2 linked regions of the Tamandua tetradactyla genome follow. The protein of the gene in region 2 interacts with the protein of the main gene of each other region in a pairwise test. Links are inferred from orthologs where the notes say so. Each region holds a gene or a part of one and is shown on either strand. Other genes may lie near its edges.

Region 1 (3,747 bases), on a different chromosome or scaffold from region 2:
ATGTTCTATAAATGTCTGTTAAGTCTAGTTCATTCATTGCATTATTCAAATTGTTTCTTTATTGATCCTCTGTCTAGATGTTCTGTCCATTGATGAGAGTGGGGAATTGAAATCTCCAACTATTATGGTAGATGTGTCTATTTCTCTTTTCAGTGTTTGTCTCACTTATTTTGGAGCACTCTGGCTTGGTGCATAAATATTTAAGATTGTCATGTCTTCTGGTTGAATCACAATTTATTCTTGATATATCTTCAAAAGTAAATCTACCACATTCTTTTGAAAGCCTGCATAATATTCCATTGAATGGAAGGGCTATGCTTTATTCAATCATTCCCTATTGCTAGGCATTCAGGATGGTTCAGGGAGATTGTTTAGTGACAATCCCATGCATATATCCTTATGACTTGGTGCGTTTTAAAATAAAAATGTGAACGGAAGGGATAGAAACAATATTGTAGGTTGTAATCACAACCCAGCCACCTGGTGCTTTTATATCCTTAAATGGGATTCCTCATCAGAATCAGGCTTGGCCATTTATTTGGCTGTTATCTTGGGCAGGTTATTTAGCTTCTCCAGGCCGCAGAAAATGGAGATAAAAGTCACATCAACATTCTAGGTTGGTGATTCTACTTTAGGTGTATCAGAATCATCTGAGTGCCACTCCCAGCGTTTCTGATTCAGTCCATCTCTCGGTGGTGCCAGATCCTTTCCATACCTAACCACTTCCCAGGTGATAATGATGTTCCTGGTCTGGGGGCCACGCTTTGAAAACTACTGTTCTAGTTCGTCCCAAGAAGTTTCAAGAGTCCGATGTGAAACACCCGGGGCAGTTTCTGGCACACAAACTGCTATTTCTGCTTCTACGCAGCAGAGACCTCCTTCAGGAACCGCGGTTCACAAAGGATCCCCTGACCACAGAGCCCCTCCCGAGTTCTGTCAAGACCACGCAGCTGGCCCGTAGGGGCGTGGCAAACCCTGGTGGGCGGGGCGGTCGGAGTGACACCGCGAGTGAGGAGGCAGGGCCGAGCGTGCGTACTGCTGCGCCTGCGTGCAGAAAGGGAGGGGGCGTGGCCCCGGCTCCGGCGGAAGCGGGAGGCTGCAGGGGCGGGCCGGCTCGCATCCCTTTTCCGGCCGGTCCCCATGGAGGCGCTGGGGAAGCTGAAGCAGTTCGATGCCTACCCCAAGACTCTGGAGGACTTCCGGGTCAAGACCTGCGGGGGCGCCACGGGTAGGCCGCGGAGGGGCCGGGGTCGCGGAGATGGGGGGACCCTAGAGCTTGTCCCGGGCGCCTGTGGCCTGCCCGGGGCTGAGGGAGCGGAACAGAAGCAAAATCCTGACCCTTGCCCCTCGTCTTGCAGTGACCATTGTCAGTGGCCTTCTCATGTTGTTGTTGTTCCTGTCCGAGCTGCAGTATTACCTCACCACAGAGGTAAGGGGGCGGGGTCCTGTACCTGGGCGGGGCTCAGCATTCTAGCGGTGGGGCCTGTGAAGGTGGGAGAGGCTTAGGGCCCATCCTTGCTGAGCTATCGCTGCCCCAGGTGCATCCTGAACTCTATGTGGACAAGTCGCGGGGGGATAAACTGAAGATCAACATCGATGTGTTTTTTCCGCACATGCCTTGTGCCTGTGAGTACCTTACCATGGGTGGCATTGCTAGCCCCAGGGTTCTCGAGTGGGCATCCAGATTCACACCTCCTGCCTTAATTATGGACTGGACCCCGGAACAAACCTCCTCCCACAGATCCAGTCCTGCCCCAAGTCAGACCCAGCAGCCCTTTCCACTCCAAAACCCAGATACCATTGTCCCTAGGATCTCAGTACCTTAGCCCGACTTCCTGCTTCCAGATCTGAGCATCGATGCCATGGATGTGGCTGGGGAGCAGCAGCTTGATGTGGAACACAACCTGTTCAAGCAACGGCTGGACAAGGATGGCATCCCCGTGAGCTCAGAGGCAGAGCGGCATGGTAACCAGGGGAGGGGGCCAGGGCTTCAATCCCAGAACTGGATATGCCCAAGCTCTACTTCCTGGCACATGGGCTCCGTGAAGCAACTAAGACCCAGAAAGGTCAAGAGGCTTTTCTAGGGTCCCCCATGTATTCAATTAGAGAGCACTGAAATTCAGCCCTCATTCTCAGAGGTCCCCAATCCCTGCCTGTTGTGAGTTGAATAACAGAAGTTTGGAATGACCCTTTGTGCTGTTGCCTTGGTGGAACTCCTCCAGATACACCCAAGCCTCCCTAAGTCTTTGCTTCCTTAGCCCCCTGGCCAAATTCAGTCCTTAATGCTCTTCCCCTTTGGAATGTAAGGAGACTCAAAGAGTTTAGGCTCTAGAGTCAAACTGCCTGAGTGCTTGTCTAGCTTTATCTGTTGTAATCTGAGCCTCAGTTATAAAATGGTGATAAAAACAGTAGTAGCCACAACATGGAATTTAGGATCAAATAAGGCATTATATATAAAATGCCTGGTACAGAGTGGATGCTGACATTTAGCTCCTTTCCTCTCTCTAGGTTGCCTCCCAGTGGCTCCGTTAACTCAATTTCCCATCATAGCAAAACCCTCTCCCAACCTAATTTGAAAACTAGGAGTTTTCAAAATCTAGGGATTGCTCTGGTGAGGAGCTTTATCAATCATTCTTTTAACAATATATGTTGAACACTTTGAGGACCAACAAAATTTTCTGCAGTATTGGATGTAGGGGGTGTAGAGAATAGAGTCAAACATGATTCCAGAGCTTTTAGCCTGAGATAATGAATGACTTGATATGGGGATGACCAAAGGAGAAGGTTTTTTGGGGGGGTGAAGGTGGGACATAATGGAAGAATGTTCCAAAACCATTGCTGTGTAACAGATTATCCTAAAAGTTAGTGACTTAAAACAACAAACATTTTTTTCATAGTTTCTGTGGGTCAGGAATTTATGAGTTGCTTGTTTGGTTGGTTCTGGCTCAGTGTTTCTCGTGAGGCTGTGTTCAAGCTGTCTCATGGCATTGCTGTCATCTGAAGGCTTGACTCTGGTCGGAGGATCCATTTCTAAGAGGGTGCACTCATTTGGCTGTTGGCAGGACACCTCAGTGCTTCACCCCATGAGGCCCTCAGTAGGGCTGCTTGAGTGTCCTCATGAGGTGGCAGCTGGCTTGCCCTGTGTAAATGATCCAAGAGAGAGCAAGGTAGGAACCACAACTTCCTTTATGACCTAATTGCAGAAGTTGCACACCATCATTTCTGCACTGTTATTGGTTTCCCAGGTCAGCCTTATTCCTATGGGAAGGGACTCCACAGGGGTGTGAATGCCAGAAGGTGGAGGCCATTTGAGACATCTTGAAGGATGGCTCCCACAGAGGAACATCAGGATTGGAGGAGATACCTGGTCTGAGGCATGTTAAGTTGGGGATGCTTATTTTTTCCCCTAGTGATTTTAAGGAAGCAATTGGATGTACTAACTTGGTTTGGAATTTAGAGGAGTAGGGCTGGAGAAATAAATTTAGAAGTCATCAGCAATATAGATGGTCTTTAAAGCCATCAGGCCAAGTGGGGAAACCTAGGGAGTGAATGTAGGTAGAGAAGTCTAGGGACTGTACTCTGGGCCACTCCAGCACTTACAAGTCAGAAAATGAGGATCCATTTTCTGAGAGGTATTAGCCACAAGGCAGGAGAGGACAAGAGGTGCCCCAGAGGTCAAGTAGAGAAAGAGTTTCAAAGAGAGAGAGTGAACATCTGTGTCGAAAGTTACTAATTACCATTAAGAGG
Region 2 (3,747 bases):
ATAATGCTATTCCAAGGATTGTGTGACATAGTAAATAACATCATAGTATAAAGCCTGGCACATACTAAATGGGCAATAAATAGTAACTATTACTGTCATTATAGCCCAAGCTTTCCCTTGCTTTTAAGCAGTCAGATCCCAAGTACTGAATGATATGTTGACTTGGGCCAGTCAAAATATACAACCAAGCAAGGCCTGGCTTCATGCCAACTTGTGTACTCCTTGTACTAATCTAAATGCAGAGCTTTAAGTGGGCCTTGATAACCTGCCTCTTTAGCTTCATCAGGCATGGTGGGCTGCTGAGAGGTTTCACGTCTGAAGCAGTAATAATGACCACGATTCCGGGGTCACCTGCTGTGTGCTAAGCCGCTAGGTGCTTATTCACTTTATCTGATTTAAGCCTTACACCAACCCACTGAGAACCGTATCATTGTCCCAATTTTATAATAAACTGAGGCCCAGAGAGGTTAAATCACCTGCCCAAGGTCACCGGGCAAGTGAAGATCTGGGATTTGAACCAACATAGACTCCAGAGATCAAGCTCCAGAGATTCTTGATCCCTGTGGTAAACTGGATGCAGGTAAGGGAGGTAAAATGCTTTTGCTGCCTGGCTAAAGACACACCAGAGCTTCTGATGCTGCCAGCTCAATGTGGGTGCATATGAGGAAGGCTTGTGGTTCCAAACACAAATTCTCTAGGCTGGGCGTGAGAGGGGACCATTTATTTTCAAGGTGAAGGAATTCAGGAAATTACTTACTCTTTTCCATCTTCCCCACCACTGTTCCTACTCTATCCCTTACATCTGCCACCATGCCTGGCACAGAGGAAATGCCCAGGAAATAAACTGTTGATGGAATGAGGCATAAGGAAGAAGGGAACGGAAAAAGGACCAGGCAGTACACAGGGATGAGATGCAGGAAAGGAAAGAGCTGGCGCAAGAGGCAAAGAAGAGAAGAGGGATGGGTAGGGGCGAGGCTCTGACCCATTGTTTGCCATAAACAAACCTTCCAGAGTACCAGGGTTTTCTGATACTGCCGAATAAATGACCCTGGCCTCAGCCTGTACTTCCGGAGGTTCCTTTCTCTTCCCCAGGGGCTTAGGGCTGGCTGAAGGCCCACCCCCCGCGTGACTGCCCCCTTGCCCTGCATATTCAGAAGCCGGTTCTGGGCTCTGTCTGGGCTCTGTCCCATGCTCACCGCCTCCTTTGGTTTCCTGGCATGGCCGTCCTAGCTCTGCACTACCTTCCTGCCCCACGTCCTCTTCCTGTCTCCAGATCCCTGGAGCTGCGGCCATCCAGGCGTCAGGACCCTCAGCCAGGCCACATCCATCACATCTCCACCAGCTTCTCCAAGGCAGAATCCTCTAGCTCTGGAATTTGGGGGTGGGGGGTGGCAGGGAGGATAGGCATGGCAGAGAAAACCAGCACCAGCTGTCCCTGACACCTCTGCCTTGGAAATGACCCGGGTGGGGTGGGGCAGAAGCCTTAATCTGCAGTAGGGGAAGGGGATGACTCACCTTTGGAATGTGTCCCTAGGTAGACATTAGGAAGGGAGTCAGGTCTGTGCCACACTCTGATAACTTCAGTGGAACTTTCACAAGTAATTACTTTTCCTTTTGTTTTCCCCCAGGAAAGGAGTTTGTCCTCCAGTACCCTGCCATGGGCTGACGCAGCCGTAACCACCCCATCTACTCAAATTTCCAACTTGGACCAGGTTTGGCTCTCACAGCTCCAGGAAGGGCCAAAGAGGTCATCACATTACCTTCCAACCTCGTGGGAGGGAGTTGTGAGACTAAGCAGATCTCTGTCCTTATATCTCATTTAACCTCGCAAAACCCCAGCAAGGTGGGGACTGCTGAGCCCACTTCACAGTTGCGGAAAAGAATACTGGAAGCTAAGTGACGCGCCTGGGCCACAGCGCTGGATAGCGGCCGCGGGTAGGATCTCAGCCCGGGTCTAACTCCAAAGTCCGTGCTCGCAGCCACTTTGCTCACCCCGCGTGGGGCAGCCTGGACGGGACGCAAGCCTCAGTCTCCCTTCCAGGCTGCGTGCCGGGAGGGCACAGTCCGGTCCCGGTCCTGCGGTCCCCACCCCTAGTCACCTCGCTGGGTCGGCCGGGCACCACGGCCGGAAGACGGCCCGGTTCTTGGACTTGGGACTCCTGGATCCCACCCGGCCCGCCGCGACGCGCGCCCCCCGCCCCCGCGGGCAGCCTCCTCACCATCGCCTCCGCCGCAGCCATGCAGACCCGCTCCCGGCTCCTCTGCCCGCCGAGGGCTGCAGCGCCCGCCGCCAGGGAGGAAGCGGAGGGGCGGGGCGGGGCCGGACCGCGGGGGCGGGGGGCGCGCCTTCACGCGCCGAGCCGCCACCGCGACCTGGCCCTGTTGAAAGGCACTTTCCTCCCGGGCGTCAGCACCCATCTTAGCGGGTTGGGAGCTACGCCCGACCAGCCTGGTGGCAGGTGATATGAGCAGGGCGGAGTGGGCCCCGGGAGCCGTCCGTGGAGCTGCGTCCCGGGTAGGGGGGATCGGATTGAGCTAGGGGGGCGTCACGCATTCATTCCGCAAAGGGTCTGCACGCATTCTTCGAGGTGCGGGACATGGCCATGAACAAGCCAGGCGGGGGGCTCTGCGACCTTGGGCCTGTGCATCCCATCGTTAACCAAACACGCACTACCCCTCCTCCCCGCCCACACACACGTGGGGAAATGCTAACTTTAGTTTTTCTGTGTTTCCCCTCCTCACCACAGAGGTCAAGTGCAACCCTGCCCTGACATGACCGCCGTTCAGTCGGTAGATGGGGTGAGACTGGCATGTCTGCTGCCTCTCCAGAGCCTTCCTGAGCTGAACGCACCCATCCTCTCCTCTGGCTGCCGCAGAAAAATCAGCAACCATCAATCAGTCTCCCACCCACCTCGTGCCACAACCTACACCTCAAATAAGTCCCCTCCGGGGAAAGTGAGTTGACAGCTTCTCTACCTTGGGTTGAGCCCCTGAGAGCACAGAAGCTCCACCCCAAGAGGGTTCCCCTCTCCCACCCCTCCCTGACCACCTGGGACCCAAGGACTCCTGGACCTGGAATCCAGGAGTGGACTGAAGATGGAGACAGTCATGGGAAGGACCGCCCTGGAGGTCTCTTCTGTGCTTTCTTTCTCCCTCTCTCTGGATTAAGAAGCTTGATATCAGAACCTGAATTGCCAATACCAGTCCCAAATCCTACCTCCTGTCCCTGCCTCTTCCCCACTAACCCCTCCCCCCCAAAACAGGTTGTTTTTCATTCTGGAAAACCTAAGGAACTGAATTGGAACAGAAATGACAAGACTCCTCCCCCCAAACAGGGCAGTGACAATGATGGTAGGACCTGGTGGGGAGGAGGGAGGCCCAAGGACAGAGGTCCATTGTGTATGGAGGGGTGGGGGCAGGGCTACAGGCCCTGTCCTGTGACACTGACTGTGCCCAGCCATGAGACTCGAGGGAGAGATGCTCATCCCCTCAGAAAAGCTGAGACCCCTAGGCCCTGCTAAATCCCGGAAGGGCTGGGATAGACAAAAGACAAATGACCTGCAGAACCACAAGACAAGGAAAATCAGTCCAGATCTTCCCATTCTCAGTTCTAGATGCAACAGAGGAAAGATGGTGAAGTGGGAGGAGGCCCTAATCCAGATGCCTACATGCTCTCCCCACGGAGACTTCATATCAATGCTAGCACTTCCAGCAGGACCCAAGGGGAACACTCAGTCCACTCTAAAA

What was found. The genes of interacting proteins can lie anywhere in the genome.
Region 1: the proteins of VAMP5 (region 2) and ERGIC3 interact in binary tests that used the Homo sapiens proteins (3 or more experiments, as listed by UniProt). The link is inferred for Tamandua tetradactyla from reciprocal best matches to the Homo sapiens genes VAMP5 and ERGIC3.

Annotation. Positions count from the first base shown.
Region 1 is NC_135327.1:16,958,958-16,962,704, reverse strand, and holds the start of ERGIC3 (endoplasmic reticulum-Golgi intermediate compartment protein 3), read left to right. Parts: upstream 1-1,049; 5' UTR 1,050-1,140; coding exon 1,141-1,228; intron 1,229-1,358; coding exon 1,359-1,429; intron 1,430-1,538; coding exon 1,539-1,626; intron 1,627-1,845; coding exon 1,846-1,965; intron 1,966-3,747. UniProt on the Homo sapiens protein: Possible role in transport between endoplasmic reticulum and Golgi. Positively regulates trafficking of the secretory proteins SERPINA1/alpha1-antitrypsin and HP/haptoglobin.
Region 2 is NC_135343.1:59,888,627-59,892,373, reverse strand, and holds the start of VAMP5 (vesicle-associated membrane protein 5), read right to left. Parts: upstream 2,303-3,747; 5' UTR 2,241-2,302; coding exon 2,220-2,240; intron 1-2,219. UniProt on the Homo sapiens protein: May participate in trafficking events that are associated with myogenesis, such as myoblast fusion and/or GLUT4 trafficking.